Linked DNA regions of Pelodiscus sinensis. The protein of the gene in region 2 interacts with the protein of the main gene of each other region in a biochemical or structural test. Links are inferred from orthologs where the notes say so. Each region holds a gene or a part of one and is shown on either strand. Other genes may lie near its edges.

Region 1 (7,383 bases), on a different chromosome or scaffold from region 2:
AGGGATAGGGTCTAGAGTGACCTAGACCAATTGGAAGATTGGGCCACAAGAAATCTAATGAGGTTCAACAAGGCCAAGTGCAGAGTCCTCCACTTGGGTTGGAAGAATCCCAAGCATTGTTACAGGCTGGGGACCGACAAGCAGCAGGAAAGGACCTGGGGATTACAGTGGATGAGAAGCTGGATATGCGTCAACAGTGTGCCCTTGTAGCCAAGAAGGCTAATGGCATATTAGGGTGCATTAGGAGGAGCATTGCCAGCAGATCTAGAGAAGTGATTATTCCCCTTTATTCAGCACTGGTGAAGCCACATCTGGAGTATTGCGTCTAGTATAGATAGGCCCCCCCAATATAGAAAGGATGTGGACGCATTGGAGAGGGTCCAGTGGGGGGTGACCAAAATGATTAGGGGGCTGGAGCATATGACCCATGAAGAGAGGCTGAGGGCTTATTTAGTCTGCAGAAGAGAAGAGTGAAGAGGGATTTGATAGCAGCCTTCAGCTACCTGAAAGGAGGTTCCAAAGAGAACGGAAAGAGGCTGTTCTCAGTAGTGACGGATGACAGAACAAGGAGCAATGGTCTCACGTTGCAGTGGGGGAGGTCTAGGTTGGATATTAGGAAAACCTATTTCCCTATTAGGGTGGGGAAGCACTGGAATGGGTTCCCTAGGGAGGGGGTGGAATCTCCATCCTTAGAGGTTTTTAAGACCCGGCTTGTCAAAGCCCTGGCTGGGATGATTGAGTTGGGGTTGGTCCTGCTTTGGGCAGGAGAAGGGGCTGGACTCGACCTCCTGAGGTCTCTTCCAACCCTGGGATTCTATGATTCTAATAAGGAACCAAATTTTGAAGGCAGCCTTGAAATATAGGGCAAAATCTCTCAGCAAAGGAACTAGACATATGAAAGGAAAACTCCATGAAATGTGACAGAGTTTATTCTCCATTGTCTTACACCTTGCTGGGGTCATTTTGTTTAGGCAATGTGGGTGTCAATCACTGTCCAGCCAAAATGCCAGCATTTTAAAATCACTTAGAATCATAGAGCTGGAAGAGGCCTAAGGAGGTCACCAAGTTGGCACAGGTGGAAATAACACAAGGCAATGAAGATTTAGACCTGTGATTTTATTATTTACTGTTAACTTTTATTTAAAACAAAAAAATAATATGCATCTACCTGTGTTACTAAAACTTTATATTGTAAAAAAGTAGGTTTAAAACAAAAACACATCAGCATGGTTGGTTTGCATCTCACCTCACTTGCACTGCTGTCAACTGAGATGAATCAAGCCCCGATCATGGTGTTTTTCTCTCACACCAGCGTTAATGAGGAATTACTTCACTGAATTCAGTGGCATTACCCACTATAAAACTAGTCTAAGAATTTTTACTTTTTTTTCCATTTATGCCATTTGTGTATTTTTCTATACATTAAAAACAGACTGGTCAGTTTCCCTTTCATTTTTAGTCTGTTTCAAACTTTGCAGCTGCCAGGAATAACAATGTGTGCTTAAATTAAGAACTCACAGGAGAATTTGCAACCACTTTTTCAAAAAGGGACTAATGAAAAAGAAACTTTACTGACTGGGATTTGTGATGGGAATTGTCAAACAAGTCAGAAAGTTAGGCACTCAACTCCCACTGAATAATGAGAGTTCAGTACCTAACTCCTTTAGGTTTCTTCTCAGTGTTCTATGTTCCTAAAGGGTTTATGTACTTTTCAAAATACTATTATATTTTGTATTGCATTCATTCGTAGGAGCTGAAGATATGGACCAATGTTCCACTGTGCTAAGCACTGGGCAAAAATCTTATCCCTCCTATAAAATGGCCTGATTTTCAAAGATACTGAAAATCTCAGCCCTCATCTAGAGCCATAGCTTTGATCCTGCATAAAATTGGCATTGGTGAATCTTTGTGGCCATGCTGAGCTTACTGCAGACCAAGAGCTTGCAAAAGCTGCAGCTACTCCGCAGGTCTGAAAAACCAGCTACTTTGATTTAGGTTCCTAAATCTTAAGTTAGGAATCTAACTTTAGGCACCCAGATTTTAAAACTTTGGCTCCCTGGATGAGTCTTCAGTTTCAGAAGAAAATGACAATGAAACTACTTTTAACTGCAGAGTTTGAAGCCCAAAGTCAGAGGAAGAACTTGGATGGGAAAATGATCCTCAGCAAAAGAGAAACGTTCATTTCCTCATCCAGGTGGGGAGAAATGTAAAACATACACAAAAGGCCATAATGGGGGACAAGTGAATTGGAGTTTAAAAATCCTTTCACTTTTAATAGACTTTGATCTTAGAATAACTTAGGTTAAAAAAAATGGGGGCTGGTGGTTTGTAGCTGACCATGTGGGGCTCGTTTTTCCTGATTACCAGCAGCTAAATCATGTTAAAATAATCTAAAGATACATTAAATAATACATTCCTAATGTCACTTTTCCATGTAAGCAATTACCATAGCTACTACACAGATACTATGCAATGGAGAACATGGGTCAGAGGTGGGCTAGAACAATCACAAATAGGAGGGGAGGTGACAAGACAATCTATTGATATTCAGCCCAGGCTGTGGAAAAGTTCCCTACATTACAGTACAGTGTCCTGATCTTTCATTCACCCACCACTGGTGTAAACCAGGACTTACATAGTCATAGAACAGCACAAGCAGGTCCCAAAAACAGGTCCCACCCTTGCTCACAATCAAAATGACTTCATGCATGTAAAAAGGGGGATTTTTGTAAAAAATTGAGGGTCTAAAGCTGCCTGCAAGCATCGCTCTCAAAAATAATAAATAGCTTCATATCTCAGCCCTTTGCCTGCTACCTATCCCACAGGAACCATACAGAAATCATTTCTCCTTTAAACCAAAGAACAATTGAGGGGCTTTCTTTTACCCTCTTTAAATATTTATGTGTCTAAATGACAACTCTGAAAAACAATTCTCTTCCCCTCTCCTTCATCTTACCAGATTTGTTTTGTTAAAAGGGGGAAGGAGACAGTGGTCCTGGCTGCTCCTGCTGGTTTTTGCTAGTGATGGTTCTTTCTTAGCCATTTTCCACCCACCTTCCAACATTGGCTTTAACCAAGCAGCACTTTTAAATCACCCTTCCCCTCCCCTTCTTTGCATGTTCCCCACCCACTGGTGATGACGTAGCGTCTGCTGAGCTCCACCCTTCCTCAACTAGAAGGGCTTAACACTCCCCTAAGCTTAGCCAGCCTGCCCTTATTTAATTTAGAGTGTGATTTTGCTATTTTTAGTAGCTGGATAGTCCCTCCTGTAAGGCTTGGAGGTTTTTTTTGTTTTTGGTCCCCTTCCTATTTCCCCCTCCCCCCCTCCCCCGTGCAAATGATTTTGACCCAGCTTCCTTCCTCTTGGAACAATTTTTTTTATTTATATAAATAAGAGAGCCCTGGCTGGTCTGTATATGTATGTGAGTGAGTCCCTGCCTTCTTGTTTCAGATCCGCATTTGCAATCAGCAGCAACCAGAAGGGGGGTTGGGGTTTAATTTGATCACAACACAGACTCACAAGGAAAAAAAAACACAACACCACACAGAGCCGAGACCGAGAGCAATTGTGAGTGTCTGGCCTTTTTTTTTTTTTTTTTTTTTTTCGTTTTGATTTGGGTGGAGGAGGTGTGGGGGGGGGGAGTTGATGTTTCTTTTCGTTTTTTTTACCATTTTTTAGTCGAATGTGCAGCTTGGGGGGGGGGCTAAAAAATCATTTTCCAATTGCAAAAAAAAAAAAGTAATTCTGAAGCCTGCTTGTTTGTTTTTAAGAATTTGCAGAGGAAAACAAGCCAGGCATGCGGAATCGATGTGCCCTTTTGCTTTGCTTCGCATCGTGCATTGCAGTATGCCAGGTGGGGGGGGGGGGCTTGCACGGGGCTGGAGGGGGGGGCAGAAACTGCAATGCTGCCTCTCCACCCTGCTTTATTTTTATCCTTAAAGCACCTGCTTTGGGAGCGGGGGGCCTTTCCTCAGCAGGTCTCCGAGCTGATGGATGGAAGCCCCTCCGGAGACCACCCCACCTGGGCGCTGGGGTGGAGCAGCAGTGGCTGGGGGGGGGGACACTAGCTTGCAATCGGCTCCGGGCGGCTGGCGGAGTGTGGCCGCTGCAGGGCTCGGGGGAGGGTGGGTGGCTTTGGCTGAGCTCTCGGTGCTCCTGATCCCCCCCCCCCCCTTCCAGCATTTGCGAGCTTTGCAAATACGCACACTCCGAGCCGGTTTCATTTTCAAATCGCGCGACAGCGCTTTCCTGCCCCTTCGCCGTGTCTTGTGCGCTGCGGCTCTGCCAATAGCGGCCGGAGCCGGCGGGCTGCCTTGTGCCTTGTGCAGCGGGCAGGTAGCGCGCTGGGACGCCCCCTCTCCTGCCCCTTTAAAGGGGCCGGGCCCGAGGCCATGTCTCTTTCCAGCCGCGACCAGACGGGGGTAAAGCCGCTGCGGGGGGGCGTGCGCGGGGGGAGGGCTCCATTTGCCCCTCCGGCTTGTTCCCATTGGGGACCAGAGAGGTGGATGCTAAGGTCGGTGTGTGCCCATGGAGATGGGGTGGTTTTTAGGGGGGGGTGCATGGCTCTCCCCCCCCCCCCCCCGGGAGGAGGGGGCTGGCACACTCTGCAGCGCCGGGGTGCTGAGAGCGATCGAGCTGCGCTGCCAATCTTGTGTGTGGTGGGAAGTACCAGCACCTGGGATCTCCCACGCTTGCCTCCCAGCTGGGGGCCAGGCCGGGTTTCCTGGGGGCTCCAGATAGCCCCCCAGGAAGAGCTCCGCTTCCGCCCCCTCTGGAGGCTGGGGCTGGCCTCAGTGGCAGTCCAAAAGTGGGGAGGGGGGGAACAGACCGTGGCCTGCCCCCGCTGTAAACTTTACCAGGTTTCTTTCCACTCCCGCTCCTTCCTCTTGAGGAGGGGGCCAGCCCTTTCTCCTGGAATCAAGCCCTTCTCCAAATGGGTGGCTTTTATTCTACCCTCCAGGGCTTCTGGTGGTGTCTCTTCCTGTGACCTCTCTCTCCCTCCCCCTTCTCACTTCCTTTTATTGTGCTCATTTAAAAGGATTGGGCTGCTCTCGTACAGCATTGGAATGTTCCTAAAGTTAATAGGGATGGAGTTGCATGCACATCCTGTCCGGTCCTTCCCCCTCCAGCCCTCCTCTATTCCTCAATCAAACAGGTTTTTATTTATGCTATTCCCTTGCTGCTGGCACCACCCTGCTTTGATGGTGTCCCTGCGCGGCTGCTCTGCCTTCTTGCACACGATGAGACTGAGATGTACGCAGGAGATGGGTCTCCACTGGGTCTCCCTTTTTGTGTGTGTGGTTCATCTGGGAGGTGGTGACTGGGCCTTGGATCGGCAGGGCTGGTTGCTTGGAATGGTGCTGTGAAACTGGGCTAGGGTGTGGAGACACGCCGGAGGCTTGTGCGTCCGAAAGAACAGCCGGAGTATCAGGTCCCTTCCTCAGGTGTCAGCCAGCCAGCTGCGTGTGTCTGCTGTGCTTTCGCTTCCTGCCCGCGGGGTTCAGGGCACAGCAAGACAGCCATGTGACCTGACTAGCTCCTCCTGCACCACTGACTGCTTCTCTTCGTAAGCCAGAGGCCTGGTCTACACCTAAAGCTTAGGTCGACCTGTGTCCCTGGGGGGCTGTGAAAAACTTCATGCCCTGAGCACTGTGTGTGGTTAGGTGAACCTAACCCCGGGTGTGGAGGTGGACAATGACAGAAGGACTCATCCCTCCACCTAGCTATTGTGGATTAATTAAGATGATGCCACAAAAATCTTCCATCTACGCCACGGCACTACAGTGGCATGGCTATTGTGTAGACCTGGCCTAGACAGGGAAGAGACCTATGACATCCCTGCACAGATATCCGCAGTTTCCCAGTGCCCCATAATGCTGCACTGAGGTTGCCTATCAGAGCTGCTGCAAAAACTGGAAGGGGTTTAGCCCAGAGAAGCTGCAAATCTATTCATGCAGCTTCCTGGATGCTGGGTAGGACCATCTACAAAAGGATTTGTGTTTCTAGCCTACTTCCTGGCTCTCTTTTCCTGCAGGGTAACACAGCTCTGCCAAAAACCTCGCTACTGGCTCAAAATGGGGAGATGGGACCCTGAATTAGCACAGTGGGGTGAGTCCTGCCCCATGCAGCTGCTGGAGAGGGGTTTCTCTGTGGGGCAGAGGGAAGTATGTTGTGAGTCCAAAGCTCTGCATGGCCAGATTTTCAGAGACAGATGCTCAAAGGATGTATCACCTCTGAGAAGCATCCTGGCTTGGAAGGTACCCAAGTGACCATGAATTTAACTTTTAAAAACAAACCAAAACATTAGGGCTGAGCGAGAGAATCCTTGAATAGCTTTTGGCTGTAGTGAGTAATGCATAGGGGTGTTTACATGAGGCTGCGGCTTCTGAGGTTTACTAACTCGTGAGTCACTTCCACAACTGAACATGAGCCCATATGCACTTTTTTTAAAAAACCTAGAAGGCCTGTGCATTCAGGATGCGTGTGTGGTTTCCTTGGGCTTTGATCCCACTATGCAACTTGTTTAGGAATCTGAACTTCCCATTTTGGGCTGTAGCAGTGAAGCCCTGGCGAGGAAGGCTGCATGGATGTCACGACGGGGTGAATTGTGCTGGTGTGAATTGGAGCAAAACTACCCATTGCTGAGGGTAGCCCTCTGTAAAGGGGACCCTGTGTGGTTGCTACAGCTGAGAGAGTAAATGGAACTGAAGCATCTTCAAAACCATTGTGTCTTGTTAGCGCTGCAAAGGCATTGCTAGAGATTTAATCTCTCTGCACAACCGCTTTCAGTGCTAATTAAATGGGCTCCCTGTTTTCCTGGGGGGTTGCGATCAGGTTCCAGGGGGAGGTTGCAAACCTCCTCTTTCTTTATAGCTAGGAGGAAGGTCCTGAAACACTTCTACTGCTGTAAGTTGATGGAATGGGGTCAGATCAGTTTGGAGAAGGTAGAAAACCACTGCCCAAGTACAATGGTCCAGAAGACACACACATGTGATACTTACAGTATATCTGTGCTGCAATTCCAGGACACGACTGCAGCTTATGTTGATGTACCAGAGCTACTTTTAATCTGCTTTTAGCACGTGGATTTGGCGCCGTGAAGTCGCAGTACCACAGGCTGACCACCTCAAGTAATTGATCTGGGTTCTAGGCAGCCTCATATAGCCCATGCCCCTGCTGCTTGGATTAAAGCTAGCTGAAGTATGTATAGGTGAGCTGCATTAGCACCCTGGGACTCACTGAACTACAGGAGGCCTTGCAGAACTGGGACCAAACCAAGAAACGTTGCACCCAAATCTTTAGGAGAAAAAATTGGGAGCAAATTGTGAAGACCTCTATTAAAAAATGCCAGGGTGGTGGTGCCCATTTGGTCAGATCTCAGC
Region 2 (6,879 bases):
TCCCTCTCCACCAGACCCCAACCCAGGGCCCTATTAATGGTGGGTGGTTCCCACCACCGGCTCAGCGGAGAGTTCTCCCCGAAACGTGCCAAGCCCACCGGGGGTTCCCTGCCCCTTGCCCTGGGATGCTTCCTACCCCAGTCCTGTGGCTGACAGAGACTCCACCTGCAGAAGCTGGGCTGGCGGCGGCGGCGATGTTGGCAGGTCCGGTGTCTGCGGCAGCAGCGAAGGGGTTGTCCACCGTGGCGGGGCGGGTGACCCTCTGGAGTCAGTGTTGCGGGCACACTCGACCTGGGGACGGTAGTAGCAACGGGGCTCTTGCTCCGGCGGCAGGTCCAGTGGTGGCTCTGGAGGTTGGGCAGGAGCTCCTTCCACCCCGGAGGCCAAGCCCCTTCTGAGCAGCTCAGCAGTCTTTTGTACTGGGGCTGCACTGCGAGCATGCCCAGCAGGGCTGCGGGGGAGGGGCATATACCACCCAATAGGCGGGCTCTCCGCCCCCCTGTTCAGTGTGGGGCAGGTCAGCCCCACCACACTGACAAAAATGTTAAATTTAATTATGCTTTAGCTATACTCAGCCTCTTGGACTAGATCCTGTGCTCCATTTAGGTCTAAAACTAGAAATACATCAGCCCTTGTAGCAGAGAGGACTCCTGATGAGGGGAGAGAGCACAATTTAAAGATTGTGGTGGTATGCAGTGGGATTCACTGCAGATACTCAGCAGGAAAACGGGTCTGATTTCCTGGAAGCACTTTTGATGTCATAGTATTGACAACATAACAGCAGATGAACTCCACTCCTAAAATGAGCTACTCCTGACATAGGTGCAGACTTCTCTTCTACGTGGATGGGGGGAGGAGCATGTGCTCACTTCTCCTCTGCCCTAAGCCCTGCCCCCATTCCACCTCTTCCCCCAAACTCTCACATCTGCCTTACCTCTTCCTGCCCCTGGTGTGTCCCCAAGCACACCCCATGTCTACTGCTCCCTTTCCCTCCCAGCACTCCTGCACACTGCTGAACAGTTGATTGCAGCATGAAGAAGGCACTGGGAGGAAAAGGAAGGAGCAGGATCACTGAGGGGTGGGAGGGTCTGGGGGAAGGAGAAGCTTGGCTGCCTGTGGATGCTAAGCACCCACTAATCATTTTCCATGGGTGTTCCAGTGCTCCTGAGATTTACAGCCAAATGTGAAACTTGGAAGCTTGGAAATGTTCTTGTTGTAGCACAGGACTCGTTAGGCTTTAGACCCTGCTGCAGATGGTGTCAGGGATTGCTCTAGGCAGGTAAGGAAGCCAGTCTGGGAAGAGAAGTAATGAAGAGAGAGAGCTACTGCATCTGAATCACTTTCTGGGGGAGGTAGACAGAGAGCAGCTGTGGAGAGCCCAGCACCAACTGTGTTATGCAGGTGATGGGGGACAGGACTGTAGGCACTGGCAATAAAAGCTTAGAGCCAGGGCAGGCGAAATACAACCTGCAGGCCATATCTAGCCCACCACGATACTCTAGGCTACCAGTGTATCAAGGTCTAGCAAGATTTCTTGGGTAGCCTCCCTGCCTGCTGCAGCCTTATACACTGCTCAAAGTACTTGGCTGGTGGGGCCATGTGCATTTCTGCACCATGCACCTCATGTGGATGGGGGCTCTGTGTACTGCCCCACCTGCAGCACAATCCTCGCAGCCCCATTGGCTGGAAACCGGTCAATAGGAGCTGCCTGGGCCATGTTTGCAGCACAGAATCCTGTCCCAAGGTCCTGCTGGGCTGCTGGCCAAGAGTTGCCTAGGGTAAATGCTCCTGGTCAGATCCTGCACATAGCACTCCACCTCCTTCTTTCCCACCTAAGGTCACAACTGTCAAGTCACAGGGCCAGGGCTGTGGATTCGCTTCAAGACAGAGTCAATGGCTGCTTTTATTAATCTCACTACGTCATTACTGTTACAGGCTTAATACTGGCAAATGGTTACACAGCTACAGCAAAGTAATACAACAATCAGCATAGGCAAAGCAATGCATATAAGAGTAACAGGCACTTGAAAATGCTTGTGCCTGTTTAGTCTGCGGGAAGTCCTGTTCTGGTCTTATATTGTGGGAATAAGTAAATAACTGTTCCTTATTCACTTTTTCCACACTAGTCATGATTTTATATCCCTCCCTTAGTTTCTTCTTTTCTAACTTGAAAAGTCCAACTTTTTAAAAAGTCTAACTTTTTAATCTCTCTTCATATGGGACCCATTCCAAACCCCCTCATTATTTTTGTTGCCCTATTCTGAAACTTTTCCAATGACAATATATCTTTTTTGAGATGAGGCGACCATATCTGTACTCAGTATTCAAGATTTGGGTGTACCATGGTTTTATATAGTCATTAAGATATTTTATCTTATTCTGTATCCTTTTCTTAATGATTTCTAACATTCTATTTGTTTTTTTTTGTTTGTTTGTTTTTTTGCTGCACACTGAGTGGATGTTTTCAGAGAACTATCCACAAAGACTCCAAGATCACTCTCTTGAGTAGCTGTAGCTAAATTAGTCCCCATCATATTGTATGTATAGTAAGGATTATTTCTTCCAATGTGCATTACTTTACATTTATCACCATTAAATTTCATTTGCCATTTTGTTGCCCAATCACTTAGTTTGGTGAGATTTTTTTAAGCTCTGTACAGTCTGCTTTGGTCTTAACTATTTTGAGCAGTTTGGTATCATCTGGAAATTTTGCCACCTCACTGTTTATCCCTTTCTCTAGAAGAGAAGTGCCGTGGATGCTGCCAAGAGCAGCAAGGGAGTCTAGAGCCCAGCTGCCAAATGCATTGCCCACTCATTCTAGGAAGTGCCATAGCAGTTTTGCCAAGCTCAGGCCTGTATAAAGAGGGGAGAAGTTGGCAGCACATTTCATGGCAGCCAGGCTCTAGCCTTTATTTATGTATCTATTATTACAGTCTTTTCTGGGTTTGTAGACTCTCTAATCTCCCTGAGCATTTCTCAGCATGATGACCAGTGCAGCCCCTTCTAACCCCATAATTCTATGACTCTATCTAGGTGCCTAAGGAGCATCTCATGGAAAATATGTAGATGGGTACATCAGCTTAAGTATCTGCAAGCATTTTACAGAGTGACAATATTGTCCCATTTCAGGGGTGCTGCTAAGATACTGGATTCAGAGTATTAGATCCTGCAATGATGAGATGTTAGGGTTGCCAATTTTGATTGAAAGAATTCCTGGAGATTTTATCATCACATGACAATTGTTAATAAAAGATTAATCTTTAATTCCTGGAGAAGCTGCGCCAATTCTGGAGGGTTGGCAACCCTAAGCATGTGAGAGAAGGGAGTAGGGAATACAGCTGGTATCTCCACCACTAATTGTCTGGCCTAAGACTGATGTGGAGGTGCTGTCATTATTCACATTAATTACAAAAAATCTGAGGCAGATCAATAATGTTTCACTGAAAACATAGAGAAGTCCTTCATCCTAGGAGGCACAGACAGTTTAAAGTCCCAGCAGGGTACCTGTGTTAGTCTGTATCTGTGTTAGTCTGTATCTGCAAAGTCCTGTGGTAGGTACCTTAAAGACTAACAGATTTATTTGGGCACAAGTGTTTGTGGGTAAAAGCCATTTCACCAGATGCGCTCATGAAAGTTTGTGCCCAGATAAGTCTGTTAGTCTTTAAGGTGCCCCACGCTAGACAGATGAAAGACTGTTAAATATATTCCAAAGCAAGAAGCTTTCGGGCCTGTCAATGCCGTTTTGATTTTTAAAGACCCGCCCACGTTACATTATCTCCTTTGTGTTAGAAATCAGTGGGACGCTCAGTAGCATTTTCAGATTGAGGAGCCCGCCCGCGCCACTACTCGAGGCCGCCTTTCGGCGCGTCCTTGGCGCCTGCCCAGGAGCGCCTGCTGATTGGCTGCTTTGAATATCTCGGCGCGACGCAGTTGGCGGAGCTGGGGCGGCTCAGCGCGGTCAGTTCGAATCGGCCCCGCACAGGCGCGTGGGGCTGTTGGTGTCGCGAGGCAGGCGGGTGAGTGCCTGGGCCGGTGGGTTTCTAACTGGGAGCGGCCCGTGCCCTGAGCCTGTGAGGGAAGGACCCGCGTCCGGCTGCCCTGGGAGCGTGCGGCTCGGGCCGGGGCAGCGCAGCCAGGGTCCCGATGAACGCCGTGTCCGCAGCGCTCCGGGCCCGTCCCGCGGCCAGGGCTGGGGGCGGCGCGGGAGCGAAGCAGGCCCATTGAGGCTGGTAGCGAGCTGCTCTTGTCCGTACGTTAGTGCCACCGTGGGGAGGGAGCGCGGCCGCAGGGGTGCCTGGCGGCTGCCGGACCTCAGCCTGGCTCGGGGCTACACTCGCCCGCGCGTCCGGAAACGTTAACAGGCGTTTAAGCTCAAACCTGGGAACCTAAACGCCCCGTGACCGCCCCGGAGCACCTAGAAACCAGCACGTCTCTGTGCGGCGCCCTCCGCCACCTGCCCGTCTTTGTCTTTCTGAGCACTTGATGGTACGTTTTGTCTTCTAGTCAGCTTCAGCCTTCCCCTGCTCGGCAGACCGCTTCCTTTGTGTTGCCTTTTTAATACAGCAGAAGAGCAGGCGGTACGTTAGGAAAACGTAAGTAAAACCATAAAGGGCAGACATCTGAATAGTTACTTTAAACTTTCAGGTTGATAGATTATGAAAACTGAAAGTGCTTTAAGGTGCACTGTGTCATCTGGTAACCTCGCATTAGCGTTCATACAATACAACTTTGTGTATACAACTGTAGGAATTCATGACCTATAGATGTGGTAGAAAGGCCTCTGCCCCAAATAGGCTTTCTTTTATTGTGTTATATGTTTGAAGTAAAAGCAGTATTAATAACTTTTTTCTGTGTTACCTGAATTTAAATGTTGGGTAATCATGTTGCCAACCTCAAAGCCACCCCAAGATAATATTAAATTGTCTGTTCCTTTAGAATACTTCACAAAATGGTCCTGTCAAACTATGAAGAGCAGTAGTTCTCAAACTTTTTTGACCTGAAGCAAAATGCAGGACAATGTAGCACTTTAAAGACTAACAAGATGGTTTATTAGATGATGAGCTTTCGTGGGCCAGACCCACTTCCTCAGATCAAATAGTGGAAGAAAGTAGTCACAACCATATATACCAAAGGATACAATTAAAAAAAATGAACAAATATGAAAAGGACAAATCACATTGCAGAACAGGGGGGGGAAGGAAGGAAGGTAAGTGTCTGTGAATTGATGATATTAGAGGTAGGGAGAGTGGGATGTATGTGAGTTAATGGTATTAGAGGTGATAATTGGGGAAACTATCTTGGTAATGGGTGAGATCAAATGTTTAAGTCCTTTTTGGAAAGTGTCGAATTTTAACATGAATGACAGTTCAGAGGATTCCCTTTCAAGTGCAGATGTAAAAGGTCTTTGTAGCAGAATGACCTGTGGAGCACCTGGCTCAATGCAAACCTTTCTGTGGACCACCAGTTGCTAATGGAAACTCTCCGTTAATTACATAACTTTGCCCGAATCATTTTGCTAGTGCTTCAGCTAGGGAGAACAGTTTAATTTAAATAATTTAACTGATTAAGTTTTTTGACCTGTGGGGCTCTTGTGCATTTCAAAGGGCGAATATAGAACTCTGCCTGCAGCCCAGGGCCAGTGGGAAGTCCTACTGACTCTGGACTTCATGTGGGTGTGCCAGCTTTGAAGTGTACAAGAGTCCCCAACTGGGGCTCTTGTGCATTTCAAAGCAGAAGCACAGCATGGAACCTGGGGTCAGTGGGGGACTCAGTCCCCCTGCTGACTCCGGGTTCAATGCTGTGCTGCTGACTTGAAATGCTGCCTGGGGTTAGCTGAGAACCCCCCCCTCCCCCAGCTGACCATGGGTTCTGCGTGGCATTTCCCCAGAACCTGGGCTCTGTTGGGGGTCCCCAGCCGATCATGGGCTCCATGCTGCATTTCAGCAGAACCCAGGATCAGCTGGGGGGTCCCCAGCTGAGACTGGGTTCTGTGCAGCATTTCTCCAGAACCCAGGTTCTTCTGGGGACTCCCCAGCTGACCCTGGGTTCTGCAGAAATGCCAAGCGGAGCCTGGGATCAGGTGGGGAGTCCCCAGCTGACTCGGGACTCCACTTGGCGATGCCATCTTGAAACGCTGCCTCAGCGTTTCAAAGAGGCAACGCTGCACAGCTGAGCCTGGGATCAGCCTCTCCCCCCCGCCCCAAGGGGGGGGTGGGAATCAACTAGTCAACTGACTATCCGATAAGCATTTGTTTATCAGATAGTTGACTAGTCCTTAATATCCTTAGTGGGGAACATTCTTAGGACAGTCTCTCCTATGTTTTCCATTATTTCCTCTTCACTCTCAAATTTGTTTTGCTCGCTTCTCTACTAATGCAGTTCTTGTCTCCTTCCTGATGTCTTGGTGGCAGCACTGCAAAGTGGTGTCAAATGCAAAGCAAACAAAAAGATTGACAAAGTAGACCCTGCCCATGCCTCTGCCTCTATTTACATTCAAAAATTCAGTTTTTCTATTTTGAAGGTATCTCTATATATTTTCACTTTCACCCTCATATAAGCAATCAAAATAAATTAACAAACAGGTTTTCTTCCTTATATTTCAAACTGTGCTCCTTGCTCCATATTTGTCATCTGAAGAAGTTGTGCCTATGAAAGCTCTTGATGCTATTTATATATTTTTGTTACTCTCTAAAGTGCTACAGGGTCATTGTTTAAAATGTTTTTGTTTTTTTAAATTAGATACTAACAAGGCTACCGCTCTGAGACTTCCTGTCTCAAGTTCATTGTGTCCCCATTATGATCCTCTACTGCCTCTCCTAAAGTCTTATGCTGTTGTGAGTGGTTGGAACTAGGGATGTTAAGCAAGTATTTCACTAATTG
Region 3 (7,069 bases), on a different chromosome or scaffold from region 2:
GTTTGTTCCTACATGGAGAAGCAGGAAGGGGTAGCAATCGGAAGGTTTGATCAGTTTTGAAAGACACTCAGTCACATCCTGAATTCAAGCTCCTGGAAAGCAGCACACTTTGAGATTCCAGATCTCAGCAGATGGATGACTCAGTCCCTCTTAGGAGGGAGTCCCCAACCACCACCACTTTTCTTCTTTTGGGGAGGGGGGTTGTGGACCCCCCCATCCCTAGGACTACACATCCCATTCCTTCCAGTAGATGGTGTTCCCTTCTGATTTCTTCCCTGAGAGGTCCCTGCCAAAGCATTCTCCACCGTAGTGCCTGTGCAGAGAGCCTGAAAGCAGTTACTTACCTCTACAGGAATGGGAGACACCTGAGTTGGCCTTCTTCTCCAGGAGATTACATGCTGCCAGTTCTCTTCCTTGTCCTGTACTACCCTGACTGGCTCTTCAGCCTGCTGTGCCTGCAGGGTTAAATGCTGCCTTCTATCGAGGAAATCTTCATCCTCTGACAGAACGTAGGGTTGATACTTGAGCCTCAAGTCCTCTAATTTTTTCTTCCAAAACGGCGACCAGCTTGCACTTAGTGCAGATGAAATCATTTCTGTCTTCTGGGAGGAAGACAAACATGGCACATGTGGTGCAGGTAGCAGCAGACCCATCACCATCTCACCGCCTTCTTTCTGAGAGATTTCTCACATGTTTTTAAATGCCCCTTTGAAGGGCAGAAGAGAAAAAAATTCAAGGAAAAGACCAAACACTATGGGTCTCTCCTCAGGGTGAACTCTCAGGCAAACTACCCTGTTGGCCACTCTGGTTGCCTTCTTATAAAGCTGATGGTAGGTCTGTCTCAAAGCCTTGCCTCTAATCCAATCAGACCTGAAGGCACTGGCCACTGTCAGCAGACAGGATACCGGGCTGGATGGACCTTTGGGCTGAGCCAGTACGACTGTTCTTATGTAATATCTGTATACATAGATAAGTTGTAGTTTGATCTGTGGAAGAAATTCAGTTAATCTATGTTCTTACTGCCATATTCTTTGTGGTTTCTGTAATCGTTATTCCTGTGGCAATAAAATTGATTTTCATTGCATTTCCTAATCTGAAGTGTGACTGTCAATCGTCTGCAAACCCTTATGAGGGGGAATCTTTTGGTTCTACCCACTTGTAACCTGGGATAGAGAAGATCGACTTAGAATCTCTGGTCAGATTGGCGAGCCTTACCCAACTAAATTCCACTATATCTCCTCCCCAGGCTACAATATGTACAACCACTTTCCTGAACAATGGGAATTCTGAGCAGGGAAGGAGCCTAGGAGAAGGGAAGTGTCTTATTCTGTGAGCCATGCACTTCATCCATCCTTCATCCCAGGGATTCTCAACATTGTTCTATTTGATGCCCCCCAACATGCTATTAAGAATTCTAGGGTCCAGCAGAGTTAGGGCGACTTCTCAGGGCAGGGACCTTGGGTGTAGGCATAGTTTGACTTCTATTTTGAGGGCATCAGGGCCAGCAGTGGTTGATCCAGCTCTGTACAGTGGGACAGTTGTGCAGGAACATTTTAAAAAGTGAGCGTGGTGAGCCCCTTACCACTGTCCAGCTGGCATGTGGGGCTGGGAGTGCTGTAGCACTCCCTATACCCCAACTTCCCATGCCTATGCAGTGGGGTCCACAGAAAGAAGCCACCTTCACCCCAATTCACCTCAGCAAGTCAGCCTGGCTGGGTTGGGGGGAGCACAAGCAGAAATAATTTAAATGTGGTGGGCACAGTGCAAAAAGTTTGAAAACAGCTTAGAGTGCAGAGAGGGAGCAGCTAGGGACTATGTGCTGACAGGGGGTATCTCAGGATGCAGGGAGGAGTGGTGGCTAGGAGATGTATACAGAGAGGAGCTGGCTTAAGGTGCAGGAAGAGGGTACTATGGGCTGTGTGCTGGAAGGTGTCCCCTGCAGTCCCTGTTCCCAGAAGGGCCTGCCAACCATGGAACTGCATCTCTCCACTTGGGTGGCTCTTACCTGCTGCCTTTGTGGGTGCAAAGGGGGCTGGAAACTAAGGAGCAGATTCAGTCTGGGGCACCAGCAGAAGACGAGGGACAACGGCTGCTTCCTGCTCTGTGGCACTGGCCAGAGCAGCCGCTATCCTGCATTGCCTGGCTCTAGCTTTCTGCATCCAACCTAGCGGGAGGGCAGCAGGGAAACAAGTGGGGAGATGTACTGGAGACAGGTTCTTACACTACTATTTCAGGATACAAGAGGGGACAATGTCCTCCATATCTCCAACTCTGTTCCAGAAATTGGCCAGAGCAGCCGCTATCCTGCATTGCCATTTTGCACAAGGGGCTTTTGCACTGCTCCTTCTTGCGCAAAAACCCCCTCTTGTGCAAGAGCCGTTCTGCCTGAAAATAAGCAGCAGAACAGCTCTTGCACAAGAGGTGGCTTTTGCGCAAGAAGGAGCAGTGTAGACTGCTCCTTCTTGCGCAAAAGCCCCTTGTGCAAAAATAGTGGCTCATTAAGTATGCAAATGAGGCATGCCTCATTTGCATATGTTCTTTCACAAGTCTGGCCAATGTAGACATACCCTTGCTGTTTTCCAGCACAAATTGCTCATTCTTATGCCCTTGATCTCACTATATTAAACATGCTTATGCTGGAAGCCATAGAAATAATCCTAAATCGAGACATCTGGCAGTTCCCTTGCCAATTCTGCCACAGCACATCTAGCCATACAATGAGGCTGCACAGGGAGCTGCCACAGCACAGCAACATCAGGCCCAACATGAGCCAGGGAGACCCCATTTGGAGGGTTGCAAGCAGCTCCCTTGTCTCTTTGCCCCGTTAATTACATGCATTTTATCTCTAAGGATACAGTCAAATGTCTGTTAACTGTAGACAGACAACACATTTCCACCCACCTGTTTTTATCACATACAGATGCTGTTCCAGAGGTAGGCTCTTCACATCCCAGAACAAGAGGTTCGTGAAATAGAGAACTGCATGTCAATTACAGAAGAAAAATCAATTCTCCACCTTAGACAGAGTTTGCAAACCTTCCCTACAAGGCAGTGAGCTCAGTGATCCTACTACTCCTCGGCCGGAAGAACACACTAACTTCTGAAAAGCCAGTGCTTAGGCCAGGGACAGACCTCTCTTCTGCAGGTTGAGCTAGCTAAAAACTGAGCTTCCAAGAACAATTCCAAACCAAGGGCAGCAGTCACTGCCTGTGAAGGCAGCCAAAGGGCTCTGCGTAACAGAGTCTCCAAATGCCTGGAGAGGATGATCAGCCAAGTGAGACACAGGCTAGAAGCGTTATGCACAAGAAGTCATGCTAACAAGGTGCCAAGCACGCCCTGCTCCTGCACTTCTGGTCCTGAATAAGCCCGGAGTGCCGCCAGCGGGCAGCAAGGCCAGCTCCATCACCTAGGCCCAGATGCTTTCCTTCCTCAGGGACACTGCAGCAAGGGCCCCAGCCATGCACCAGCCCCTAACTGGAAAGCCACTGGCCCAGAAGGCGGGAGCCCGGGTGCCCTCTGCTCCTTCCCGTCCCTGTGCACCAGGCGCAGACACACCCAGCGGCGGCTTCGCTCCGTGGCCGTGCCCGAGCCCCGCAAGCGCCCAGCTCCCAGGGACCGCGGGGGCGGGTCCCCCAGCTCGGTCAGGGCAGCGCCGGCCCCACGTGGACCGGGAACCCTCCCAACGGGGCGCTGACTGACAGGGGAACAGCGCGAGCGCGGCCCACGCGCCCCACCTGCAGGCCAGCGGCTCCCAACCGCCCAGCGCGTGAGACTCTGGCAGCATGAGAGGCAAGCGGTGGGGGTGTATGCAGCACTACGTCACAACCAAGCAAAACCTTCCCCATTCGATAGGCCGGCCTCGCCTCACTGATATCTACGGCCGCAACCCCAGCAACCACGTGCTCCCGGGGACGGTGATTGGCCTCACAGAGCCACAGATGGGCGGAACCCCTTCGAGCGTCCAATAGAAAACGTTCCGTCCGCTTCTCCCCGAATAGGTGCGCACCTCGCTCGAGTCACGCGGATTTACCCAATCAGAGAGCGGCGATTTTGTTTGGGAGGGGGGCATCCTTCAGTCGTTCTGATTGGTCACGATCGGCACCAATCTCTGTGATTGGCTGGGCTCAGGCGGCAGGTTTAAGTTCCGAGTATTCTATTTTCATTCAAGTCTGTGGGCTCGGGACCTGGAGCTAGAGGGGGTGAGGCCAAGACCTGAGAGCAGCGGGCGGGAGGCCCCGGGGATGGGCGCGGGACGCTGAGAGCAGCGGGCGGGAGGCCCCGGGGATGGGCCCGGGAGGCTGAGAGCAGCGGGCGGGAGGCCCCGGGGATGGGCCCGGGAGGCTGAGAGCAGCGGGCGGGAGGCCCCGGGGATGGGCACGGGAGGCCGAGAGCAGCGGGCGGGAGGCCCCGGGGATGGGCACGGGAGGCTGAGAGCAGCGGGCGGGAGGCCCCGGGGATGGGCCCGGGAGGCTGAGAGCAGCGGGCGGGAGGCCCCGGGGATGGGCACGGGAGCCCGAGAGCAGCGGGCGGGAGGCCCCGGGGATGGGCACGGGAGCCCGAGAGCAGCGGGCGGGAGGCCCCGGGGATGGGCACGGGAGGCCGAGAGCAGCGGGCGGGAGGCCCCGGGGATGGGCACGGGAGGCCGAGAGCGGCGGGCGGGAGGCCCCGGGGATGGGCCCGGGAGGCTGAGAGCAGCGGGCGGGAGGCCCCGGGGATGGGCCCGGGAGGCCGAGAGCAGCGGGCGGGAGGCCCCGGGATGGGCACGGGAGGCCGAGAGCAGCGGGCGGGAGGCCCCGGGGATGGGCACGGGAGGCTGAGAGCAGCGGGCGGGAGGCCCCGGGGATGGGCCCGGGAGGCCGAGAGCAGCGGGCGGGAGGCCCCGGGATGGGCACGGGAGGCCGAGAGCAGCGGGCGGGAGGCCCCGGGGATGGGCACGGGAGGCTGAGAGCAGCGGGCGGGAGGCCCCGGGGATGGGCCCGGGAGGCCGAGAGCAGCGGGCGGGAGGCCCCGGGATGGGCACGGGAGGCCGAGAGCAGCGGGCGGGAGGCCCCGGGGATGGGCACGGGACGCTGAGAGCAGCGGGCGGGAGGCCCCGGGGATGGGCACGGGAGGCTGCCGCGGGTGACTCGGTTCGCGTTGCTCCTAGGTGGCGGCTCCGCGGGCCGCAGCGCCATGGCCGGGAATATCTCCCCTGCGGGACCCGGCAGCCCCCGTTCCCGTCTGGGTTTCCGAGCCAGATGCAGGATGGTGCTGAACTTGCTGAGGGACACGGAGGTCTCTCTGCCCTTCACCCCGGAGCTGCCCCGCACCCCGGTCACGGACCTCGCTCGAGGCTTTAGGAACCTCAGCACCTTGGCAGGGTAAATCCCATCGTGGCCACCTCCTCCAGGAAGAGGCCCCCCTCGGGTACTGGCAGTAGGTGGGGAAAGTCTGCCTGGTAGTGGGATGAGGAATAGCCCCAGGCACAAGGCTCCGATAGCCACCCTGCCAGCCAACGCTGTAGTAGGAGGAGAGGGGCTGGGCCATTCACAAGCTTGGCTTGTTCTGGGCTGATTTCTTTGCACCCAGGCTGCCCAGCAGGCAGAGACCTAATAGTGCGTCTGTTCTCCCTTTAGCATAGCAGCCCTGGTGGTGCAGGTAGCATGGAAGATGAAGCTGGGATGAAAGTCAGTCTCCTTGCTCAGCGTGAACCAGGGTGCACGTCAACTGGTGCTGCTACAAGGGCTGGGGCAGCAGCTTGCTCTTGAGGGGTGGGGTGATTGAGACATTGAGGTCTGAATTTAGGACAGTGGTCTCTGCCCTTTTGAAGCACAAGATCACTTTTTGAAGTGCAGGGTTTAACTCAAACCCAAATATCCCCGCCCTGCCCCTTCTCCAAGGCCCTGCCCTTGACCCACCCCTTTGCCAAGGCCCTGCCCTCCTCACTCTGAGGATGGGGTACAGGGGAGGGGGACAGAGTGACATCAGCACCCCCTGCCTCTGACTCCCCCACCCTGCACAACAAGCAGGAGGCTCCCAGGGGGCAGCTCTGAGGGTCTGGGCAGGGAGAGGCAAGGCAGTGTGGGGAGGGGCAGCCAAACCAGTCAGGATCACCTGTCAGAGGCTCCTGTCTATAAGACTCTGTCCCTGCTTTTGCAAGGAATTCTGAGCGGGCTTTTCATTAAAAAAAAAAAAAATCAAAAGTCTTTTGGTGTAAATAGCATGGCCACTAGAGATGTTAAATGTCGGTTACCTGAATAGCCAATTAACCTCATGAATTCTTATCAGTTACTTGACTATTCTATAGTCCCTGGGGGTGAGGCAGGGGCTGGCAGCCAGCGTGCTCTGGCCCTGCTCCTCAGAGGCCCCTGCCACCACTGTATCAGAGGCAGGAGCGCGGGGTGCCAGGCAGGAGCTAGTCTGCAAAGGGAGCCAGTTCAAAAACCAGTTCCCCTCACAGACCTGCTGCCTGTCACCCCACACTGCTGCCTCTGATACAGAGGCAGCAGCACTGCGTGGCAGCAGCCCCTATCCAGGGGCTGAGCTCCCAGACCTGGCACAAGCCAGGACTGAGCTGGGCTGCCAGCCTGCTTGGCTCCTAATACATTTGAAATGCAGAGCCGCAGTGGGGTAGGTCCCAGACCTGACGCAAGCCAAGACTGAGCTGGGCTGCTGGCTGGCCTGCTAAAAGTACTGGCAAGGGGGGAATGCGTGTAGTCTATAGCATTAATTTATAAGCTTTTGCTTATTGGTTAATCGACTACACTATTACATCCCTAATGGCCGCTAAACTTCTCGGGGGGGCCTGAGGAGCCATCTCTGACTGAAAGGAGCCATCTTTTTATAAAAGTGCCCTTAAGAGCTCCCAAAGTGGCTGACAGAGCTAATGTTTTGATGGGGGTGGATAATCTTATGGTTCTGGTGGCTCTAAGCGGGGGCATGATGCAGAAGAGAGTTCTGACAGAGATCCTCCTTTTGAGTCCAGTCTTCCATCAATCAGCATGTGAACATCCTGGTAATTGTCACCAATATTTCCATCCTGATGCTTTGGGTTTTGATGTGTTGTTGCAGGAATACGCCAAAGTGCTGT
Region 4 (6,980 bases), on a different chromosome or scaffold from region 2:
ATGCCCCCTCCCCTCCCTGGGCAGAGAGGAGCTCACCTGCCGAGCAGCCTGAAGGGTTTGAAAGAGATTTATCTATCCTTGCCTCCAAAACCCACAGCCCCCTGCTAACCATCCCCCTCACTGCTAGCCCCCTCCCTCTCCACCCCCCGCCCCGATGCTTCCAGCCTCCAGTGCCAGAGCCCACAGTGCAGAAGCCAGATTCTTCTGTGCTCTAGGTTGGTCTCATTCTGGGATCTCCCCCCCACAGGTTATGGGGCAGGACCCAGAGTTGGCAGCTACCCCACAGCTCAACAAGGTAAGGGGCATGAGCTAAGCACAGCACCCCCTGCTGAGAGAGCCAGAGCTGGAGTAGAAGGGGCTCCCCCCCCCCGCTGCTAGCACTTTTACCCTGCTCCCCACGGCACCCCCCACAGCACCCCTTACTGGGAGAGGCCAGGGCTGGAGCAGTGCACCCCAATCTGGATTCTCTTTGCTCTGTAGGAATCGCTGGAGTAGGCGGTGGATACCTGGCCAATGGGGCACAGCCAGGATACAGGAATGGTAAGAGGACCACAAATTGTACCTCACTTCCCGCCCCCCCTCCACATCCAGGCTGAGCCTGTCTGATCTCCCATCTCTCTTCTAGGCTACGGTGCAGGAGGGAACAGTCACCCTGGGGCCGGACTCCAGTCAGGATATGGCAACGGTGTGCCCAGTGACAGAGGGAGGAGAGCGAGGGGCGGGGCAGGGCTGGGCTGGCAGGGGGCTGCAGGGCAGGAATGAGGGGTTCTGGCCGAGCTGTGGGGGGAATCCAGGGCTGTGGGTTGGAACAGAGGTGCACAAGCCAAGCTAACTGCCTTAATCTATTCCATCCCCAGGTGCCCAGGCTACCTACTTAGGGCATTTTGCCAGCCTTAGCACAGATCTCTCAGCTGCTAAATATGGTGAGTCCTTCTGACCGCAGAGCCAGGAATTGCTTAGCTCTGGGAAGTAGGAAACGGGACACAGGGCCTTGTGCTCCAATCCAAACCCAGTACGGGGGACTGGCTGGCTGAGGGAGGGGCAAAGGAGTGTGCCCCCCATCCTGACACCCTGTCCATGCTGTAGGCCTGGGCCAGCTCCCAGACCATGGGCAGTTCCAAGAGACCATGCCCATTGGTCTGGGGGGAGACTATGGTGCTGGGAAATGAGGTAGGTGTGAGTAAGGGCTCTGGGCTCCTACGGTGGGTGAACTTGTCCATAGAGTTGCTATAGAGGGAAGTGTGAAGGGCAGACACCCCCCCCCAGAAGATTTATTTCAGGTGCAGCAGCAGTGTCCCCAGTAAGCTGTGCTCTTGGGTGGCCTCCTAGAAAACATTGAAATGCTGCCCAGCTGACTGGCAGAGTGCCCACAGCCGCCTACATGTGTTTCTATTGGTAGTGCACATCCACACATGCCTCGGTGCACAGCAATCTGTGCCATGCCGCCCAGTATCTTCGTCCCACCCCCACCCTGTGCAGGGATGTGGGCGGGGGGCTGGGATGCCCCTTGCCAACCCTGCTTTGCCTAAACCAGTGGTCACCAACCAGTAGATTGGGATCTACCAGTAGATCCTGGAGCCTCCCGCAGTGACAGCTCCCTTGGTTCCCAGCATACCGTCCCGCCCTGCCCGTAGGCAGTGCAATCTCCTGTCCCTGTGCTGAGATCTCCACTCACCAACACTACCATGTTTCCTCCTCCAGGTGGTGCAGGGCAACTAATGTACAGGGCACAACAGGCTGGGCCCAGTTCCCTGGATGGTAAGAGATGGTGAGGGGCTGTCCAGTCACATGGGTCCCCCCTTGCCTCTGGACACATGTATACTCATCCCCAGGGGCTCAAAGCCCCTTCCTGTGCTAATTTCCTGCCCCCTCCCCCAGCAGGCAACGGGAATGGACTGGGACATGCAAACGGAGGGGATCTGCAGGCTAACGGACTGGCTGCTGGTAAGATCCCCACCCTGCACCATTTGCTTCTGGGACTGAGGGAGCTGGGAGCTCCCCCCACAGCCATTGCTCCTGCCCCACTCCACTCCACCCCTCCTGATAACTCTTGTCGCTGTTGCAGGGGGATACGGGCCACTCACAGCAGGGCAGGCTCCTGGAGGCTATGGACTCTCCCCAGCAGCATATGGTAGGAGTGTGTGTGGGGGGGAGTGGGGGAGAGACGCAACATTTTATCCTATTGTCTTGTGATGCAACCAAAACTGCTCTTGCATGCGTGTCCTGTGCCTTCCCCTGCTGTCCAGAGAGAGTCATTCTCCTTTGGGTAGCAGACGGGGATGGCCAGTGACCAATTCTCATCTGCTCCCACCCGCTTCTAGGAAGCAAGGAGGCCAAGTATGGGCTGAACGGCTTTCTGGGGAATGGATACAGAGGTAAGAATTGGGGAAGGCATGTGTGTTGGTGGGGGGTGAATCTTGGAAACAGGGAAGAGCTATGACTCTTGGAGGGGATTATCTTGGGGGAGGACACAAGCTAAAGGAGCCAAATCTCTGCAGTTTGGCTAAGGGCTTGACATGGGCAGTGGCTGCAAATGTCACAGCAGGGTGAACTTCAGGAAGAGTACAGTATTTGGGTAAGGAGGAACGCAGCCCAGGTAAGACGGATGATGGTATATCCCATATAGAATCAATGCCCTGTTATCTAGAGAAAGAGAAGGCAGGGGCTCTGGGAAGGAATAGCTCTCTATCCCCACATGTGTGGGTGGATGCACTAGTCTCCACTCACCCTTGAAGATGTGCTGCTCTCTTGAAGCTCTGACCTCATGCTTCTCTTTATGCCAGGTCGCTGCCCTCCCGGGAAGTGCTGAGTCCCCGACCTTCACTTGGGGAACTTCGCACCACAGGATGGCAGAAGCCTACCGCTTCTGGTGCTGAAAAAGCAAAGAATTTCTCCTGAGATAAATTATCGTCTCTTTCTCTTTATTTTTAATGGCTACAGATCTGTCTTTTTAACAGAAAAACAAACAGTGACTGGTAAATGTAATGTGTTTGGAAAGTGAGGCTGCAACCCTTCTGACCTCCCTTCCTCTTGGGCTTGGCCAGCGAGGAGAGAGGGGTTTTAAGGGTAGGCCTGTACAGGAATACCGGGAAGGTCGGAGCGGGGTGACTCGGTTGTTAACTCCCTTTTACTGGCTAGGCAGAGAATATGTGTTTGTAGCTAGAGAGTGGGATGTGGGAGCGCTTGCAATAAAGATCCCGCACAAAGCTGAAGTCTCGAGATCTCTGTACGCCTGCGCGCTGTCCCAGTTCCACTGTCGTTCACACCTCCCACGGCAATTGGCGTTTGCTCTCCGCACACTCCGGCAGAGGCTGGCTCTTCTCCAGGCACGTTGTGAAGCTTTTCTTCGCCATCATAGTGCTAGAATCGTCATTAAGAAAAAGTAAAGCTGAGTCTCTGTGGAAGGATGGGCAGGGGGCCGTCCAGGCAAGCGGGGCTAGTCCTGTTTGCCCCGGGCAAGGAGAGATGGGGGGTGATTTTCTCTGGGGGAGCTGACATAGTGGAGGGATTCCCACCCCACACCCAACCGTGATTGGTCAGCCCCTCCCCCCATGCAACCTGACGAAGCAGCTTGTCTCCTCACTCCCCCCCCCCATTGGCTTGCCGGGGGGGGGGGGGGGCCTGGACATGGGGCACCTGGGGGTCGTGCTCTGGGGAGTTCTCCCCACAGGAGTGGGGGCGAGGGTGGTGAATGTGGGTGAGGCGGGGGAAGGGAATCGCTATCCCTGGGGGGGGCTGTCCCTGAAGAGGGGGGTGGCAGTGGAGGGGGCTGCCCTGAGGGGGGGTGGGGGGCTGCTACTGCAAGGGGCTGGGTTGGGGGGAGCTTGGCCACACTTTGGTTGCCGCGGTGCATTGTGGGCGGGAACGTGTCTCGGCCGCGCTCCCCCCCCCGCCCCTCGGAGCCGGGCTGCGGTGGGCGGGGTGAACGCGCGCGGGAGGCGGGGCCACCCCGGGCCGCCGCCGCTGATTGGCTAACGTGGTGAGGCGGGGGAGGACGGTTGGCGGCTCGCGCCGCGCCGGACGGTTTTGGCGCCAAACGGAGCGGCGGTTGGGCCGGCTCGGGGCGCGCGCGGGGAGCCCGCCACATCCGGGTACTTGCGGCCAGCGAGCGCGGCGCTCCCCCCTCCCCCCGCGGGGACCGGGGAGGAGGTGAGGCCCCTTGGCCCCGCCCCCCGGGGGCTCTCTCGCGCTGGGGGGCCCACGCCGAGCGCCCCCAACTGCGTCTCTGTCAGAAACCCGCCCCCCCGTCACTGGGCCCCCCCGTCACTGGCCCCCCCGCTGTCAGAGCCCCCCCACTACTGGGCGACCCCCCCCGTCACTGACCCCCCCCGCTGTCAGAGCCCCCCCGCTACTGGGCGACCCCCCCCCGTCACTGACCCCCCCCCGCTGTCAGAGCCCCCCCGCTACTGGGCGACCCCCCCCGTCACTGACCCCCCCCGCTGTCAGAGCCCCCCCGTCACTGACCCCCCCCCGCTGTCAGAGCCCCCCCGTCACTGACCCCCCCGCTGTCAGAGCCCCCCCGTCACTGGGCTGCCCCCCCCCGTCACTTACCCCCCCCCTGCTGTCAGAGCCCCCCCGTCACTGGGCTGCCCCCCCCGTCACTTACCCCCCCCCGCTGTCAGAGCCCCCCCGTCACTGGGCTGCCCCCCCCCGTCACTTACCCCCCCCCCCCGCTGTCAGAGCCCCCCCGTCACTGGGCTGCCCCCCCCGTCACTTACCCCCCCCCCCCCGCTGGCAGAGCCCCTCCGTCACTGGGTTCCCCCCATTACTGAGTCCCCCCCACCCTGCTAGGTCCCCCCTTCACTGAGCCCCCTGCTGTGTCAGGTTGCCCCACTGGCCCCCCTGCTAGCCCCCATCACTGACCCCCCCTGTCACCAGCCCCTTTCCCCCAAGCTGGCCCCCTGTGTCTTCCTGGCTGAACCCCTCCCCGCGCTGTACCCAGCCCGCCAGGGCCCCCCACTTTGCCCAAGGCAGGGACCGTGCGGGGCGTCCCCCACCCTGTTTTTATACCAAGGGACTGGCCTGCAGAGCCTATCCTGCCCTCCCCACACCCCTCGCCCATGCCAATGGGTGCTGACCTTGAGACACAGCCACCAACCAGCCCCTGGTGCTCTCCCCAGCTGCTGTCCTCTTCTCCCTGCAGTGTCTCCCCCTGGCAGAGCCAGCCATGCCGCTGCCCCTGGACTACGCGGGCACCGAATCCCAGCTGAGCCGCACGCCCCTGCCCGTGCCCGTGCCGGCCTTCTTCCGGGAGGCCGAGCGCAGCTTTTCAGTGAAGAAGCCGGGTCGGCCACTCAGCTACACCCTCCCGCCCCGGCCACGCCACAAGGGCACTCTCACTGTCAGCCGGGTCTTTGCCAGCCGCCAACCGCAGCCCTGGAGCCAACCTCGGCCGCGCAGCGTCTCCTTTCGCAGCTCCCAGGATCGGGCGCTGGCCCCACATAGCCGCCTTTACAACCCTGCCCGCAGAGAGCCCTTCTTCAGTCAGTGCTTCCAGCTGCTGGGCCGGCTGGGGCGCGGCTCCTTTGGGGAGGTGTATAAGGTAAGAGGGCTAAGGTGGCAGATCCCAGCAGGGGACGGGATGTGGGAATTGGGGGCATCTGGGATGAGGAATTCTAGCTAAGAGATGCAGAAATTAAGGGGATCCCATCTAGGGACATAAGCGACTAGCCGAGTTGTCCACTGGTTGCTTCCCCTCCCGCCGGCTGCCTTTATCCTAGGCAGCAAGGGCTGGGGGAGAAGGAACCAGTGGAGGGAAGAGCCCCCTTGAAAGCTGAGGCAGAGCGCAGGGAAAGGAGAGGCACCACAGGGGACCAGACTCGAGCCAGGCATCACCTGTCCCGGCTTGCACCTGGTCCCAGACGCTACGCCTCTGCTTTTTAAATGTAGTAAGGGCCTGGCAGCTCTTACGACATTTAAAAGGTAGAGCCACAGCAGGTTTAGCTCCCGGGATTGCACAAGCAAGGACTACTTACTCCTGGCTCATGCCGCCCCAGGGAGCTAACCCTGCTGCAGAGCTACAGTGGGGGCAGCGTTCCCCCCCCCCCGTCCCCCCTCCAATTGACTAATCAAGTAGTCAATGGAAATTCCATCCACTACCTGTTAGCTGATTTTCCACATTTTAACATCCTTAATCCCAGCTGGGGGGTGAGCATGACTCATCCTGAGCCTGTTCCCCTGGTGGCTGATTCAGACTCCCCCAGGTTTGCAGCATGGAGGGTGAGCATGGAGTTATTTTGTGGGGAAAGGAAGTAATCTGTTGGGGGGAATCTGTGTCCCCCATGGCTGACCTTCCCTCACAGGTGCGCAGCAAGGAAGATGGGCGACTGTACGCAGTGAAGCGCTCAGTGGAGCCATTCCGGGGAGCCGGCGACCGACAGCGCAAGCTGGCCGAGGTGCGGAAGCATGAACAAGTGGGGCGCCATCCCAACTGCGTGAGCTTTGTGCGGGCCTGGGAGGAGCGGGGCCAACTGTACATCCAGACGGAACTATGCCCGGCCAGCCTGCTGCAGCATTGTGAGGGACATGGACCGCTGCCTGAGGGCCAGGTGCGGGCCTGCCTCTGGGACCTGCTGCAGGCGCTGCGCCATCTGCATGCCTGCAGGCTACTGCACATGGACATAAAGCCAGCCAATGTCTTCCTCACCGAGCGCCACGTCTGCAAACTGGGCGACTTTGGCCTGGTGCTGGAGTTGGACCGTGGAGACCTGAGTGATGCCCAGGAGGGTGACCCACGCTACATGGCACCTGAGCTGCTGCGGGGGGAGTACAGTGAGGCAGCTGATGTCTTCAGGTGGGGCCTCTAGAGTCAGGGATAGAACCCAGATGTCCTGTCTGACTCCCAGCCCAATCCTTCTGTCCACTACTAGACCCATCTTCTGGCCTCCACTCCACGCACCCCCTTCCTTGACCACTACCATCCCCTCACCCCATGTGCTCCAAGGCCAGGCACCCAGATGTGCCAGAGAGCAGAGGACCCT

The links.
Region 1: of the proteins of CDK1 (region 2) and HMGA1, one has a biochemical effect on the other in vitro, tested with the Homo sapiens proteins (3 studies listed by BioGRID and IntAct). The link is inferred for Pelodiscus sinensis from reciprocal best matches to the Homo sapiens genes CDK1 and HMGA1.
Region 3: the proteins of CDK1 (region 2) and CDC25C form a complex in vitro, tested with the Homo sapiens proteins (3 studies listed by BioGRID, with this or other methods). The link is inferred for Pelodiscus sinensis from reciprocal best matches to the Homo sapiens genes CDK1 and CDC25C.
Region 4: of the proteins of CDK1 (region 2) and PKMYT1, one has a biochemical effect on the other in vitro, tested with the Homo sapiens proteins (2 studies listed by BioGRID and IntAct). The link is inferred for Pelodiscus sinensis from reciprocal best matches to the Homo sapiens genes CDK1 and PKMYT1.

Annotation. Positions count from the first base shown.
Region 1 is NC_134737.1:11,423,353-11,430,735, forward strand, and holds the start of HMGA1 (high mobility group protein HMG-I/HMG-Y), read left to right. Parts: upstream 1-4,373; 5' UTR 4,374-4,392; coding exon 4,393-4,514; intron 4,515-6,035; exon of another isoform or gene 6,036-6,109; intron 6,110-7,383. UniProt on the Homo sapiens protein: HMG-I/Y bind preferentially to the minor groove of A+T rich regions in double-stranded DNA. It is suggested that these proteins could function in nucleosome phasing and in the 3'-end processing of mRNA transcripts.
Region 2 is NC_134718.1:23,046,880-23,053,758, forward strand, and holds the start of CDK1 (cyclin-dependent kinase 1), read left to right. Parts: upstream 1-3,870; 5' UTR 3,871-4,016; intron 4,017-4,022; exon of another isoform or gene 4,023-4,249; intron 4,250-4,258; exon of another isoform or gene 4,259-4,485; intron 4,486-4,503; 5' UTR 4,504-4,592; intron 4,593-6,879. UniProt on the Homo sapiens protein: Plays a key role in the control of the eukaryotic cell cycle by modulating the centrosome cycle as well as mitotic onset; promotes G2-M transition via association with multiple interphase cyclins.
Region 3 is NW_027465994.1:524,311-531,379, forward strand, and holds the start of CDC25C (M-phase inducer phosphatase 3), read left to right. Parts: upstream 1-4,057; 5' UTR 4,058-4,199; intron 4,200-5,146; 5' UTR 5,147-5,172; coding exon 5,173-5,360; intron 5,361-7,050; coding exon 7,051-7,069. Other genes in the region: oocyte-specific histone RNA stem-loop-binding protein 2, read right to left, coding at 2,902-2,979. UniProt on the Homo sapiens protein: Functions as a dosage-dependent inducer in mitotic control. Tyrosine protein phosphatase required for progression of the cell cycle. When phosphorylated, highly effective in activating G2 cells into prophase.
Region 4 is NC_134714.1:134,509,095-134,516,074, forward strand, and holds the start of PKMYT1 (membrane-associated tyrosine- and threonine-specific cdc2-inhibitory kinase), read left to right. Parts: upstream 1-3,961; 5' UTR 3,962-4,091; exon of another isoform or gene 4,092-4,149; intron 4,150-5,143; 5' UTR 5,144-5,167; coding exon 5,168-5,542; intron 5,543-6,302; coding exon 6,303-6,793; intron 6,794-6,980. Other genes in the region: GREP1 (glycine-rich extracellular protein 1), read left to right, coding at 248-295, 481-540, 626-685, 858-923, 1,702-1,758, 1,879-1,944, 2,066-2,131, 2,322-2,375 and 1 more. UniProt on the Homo sapiens protein: Acts as a negative regulator of entry into mitosis (G2 to M transition) by phosphorylation of the CDK1 kinase specifically when CDK1 is complexed to cyclins. Mediates phosphorylation of CDK1 predominantly on 'Thr-14'. Also involved in Golgi fragmentation.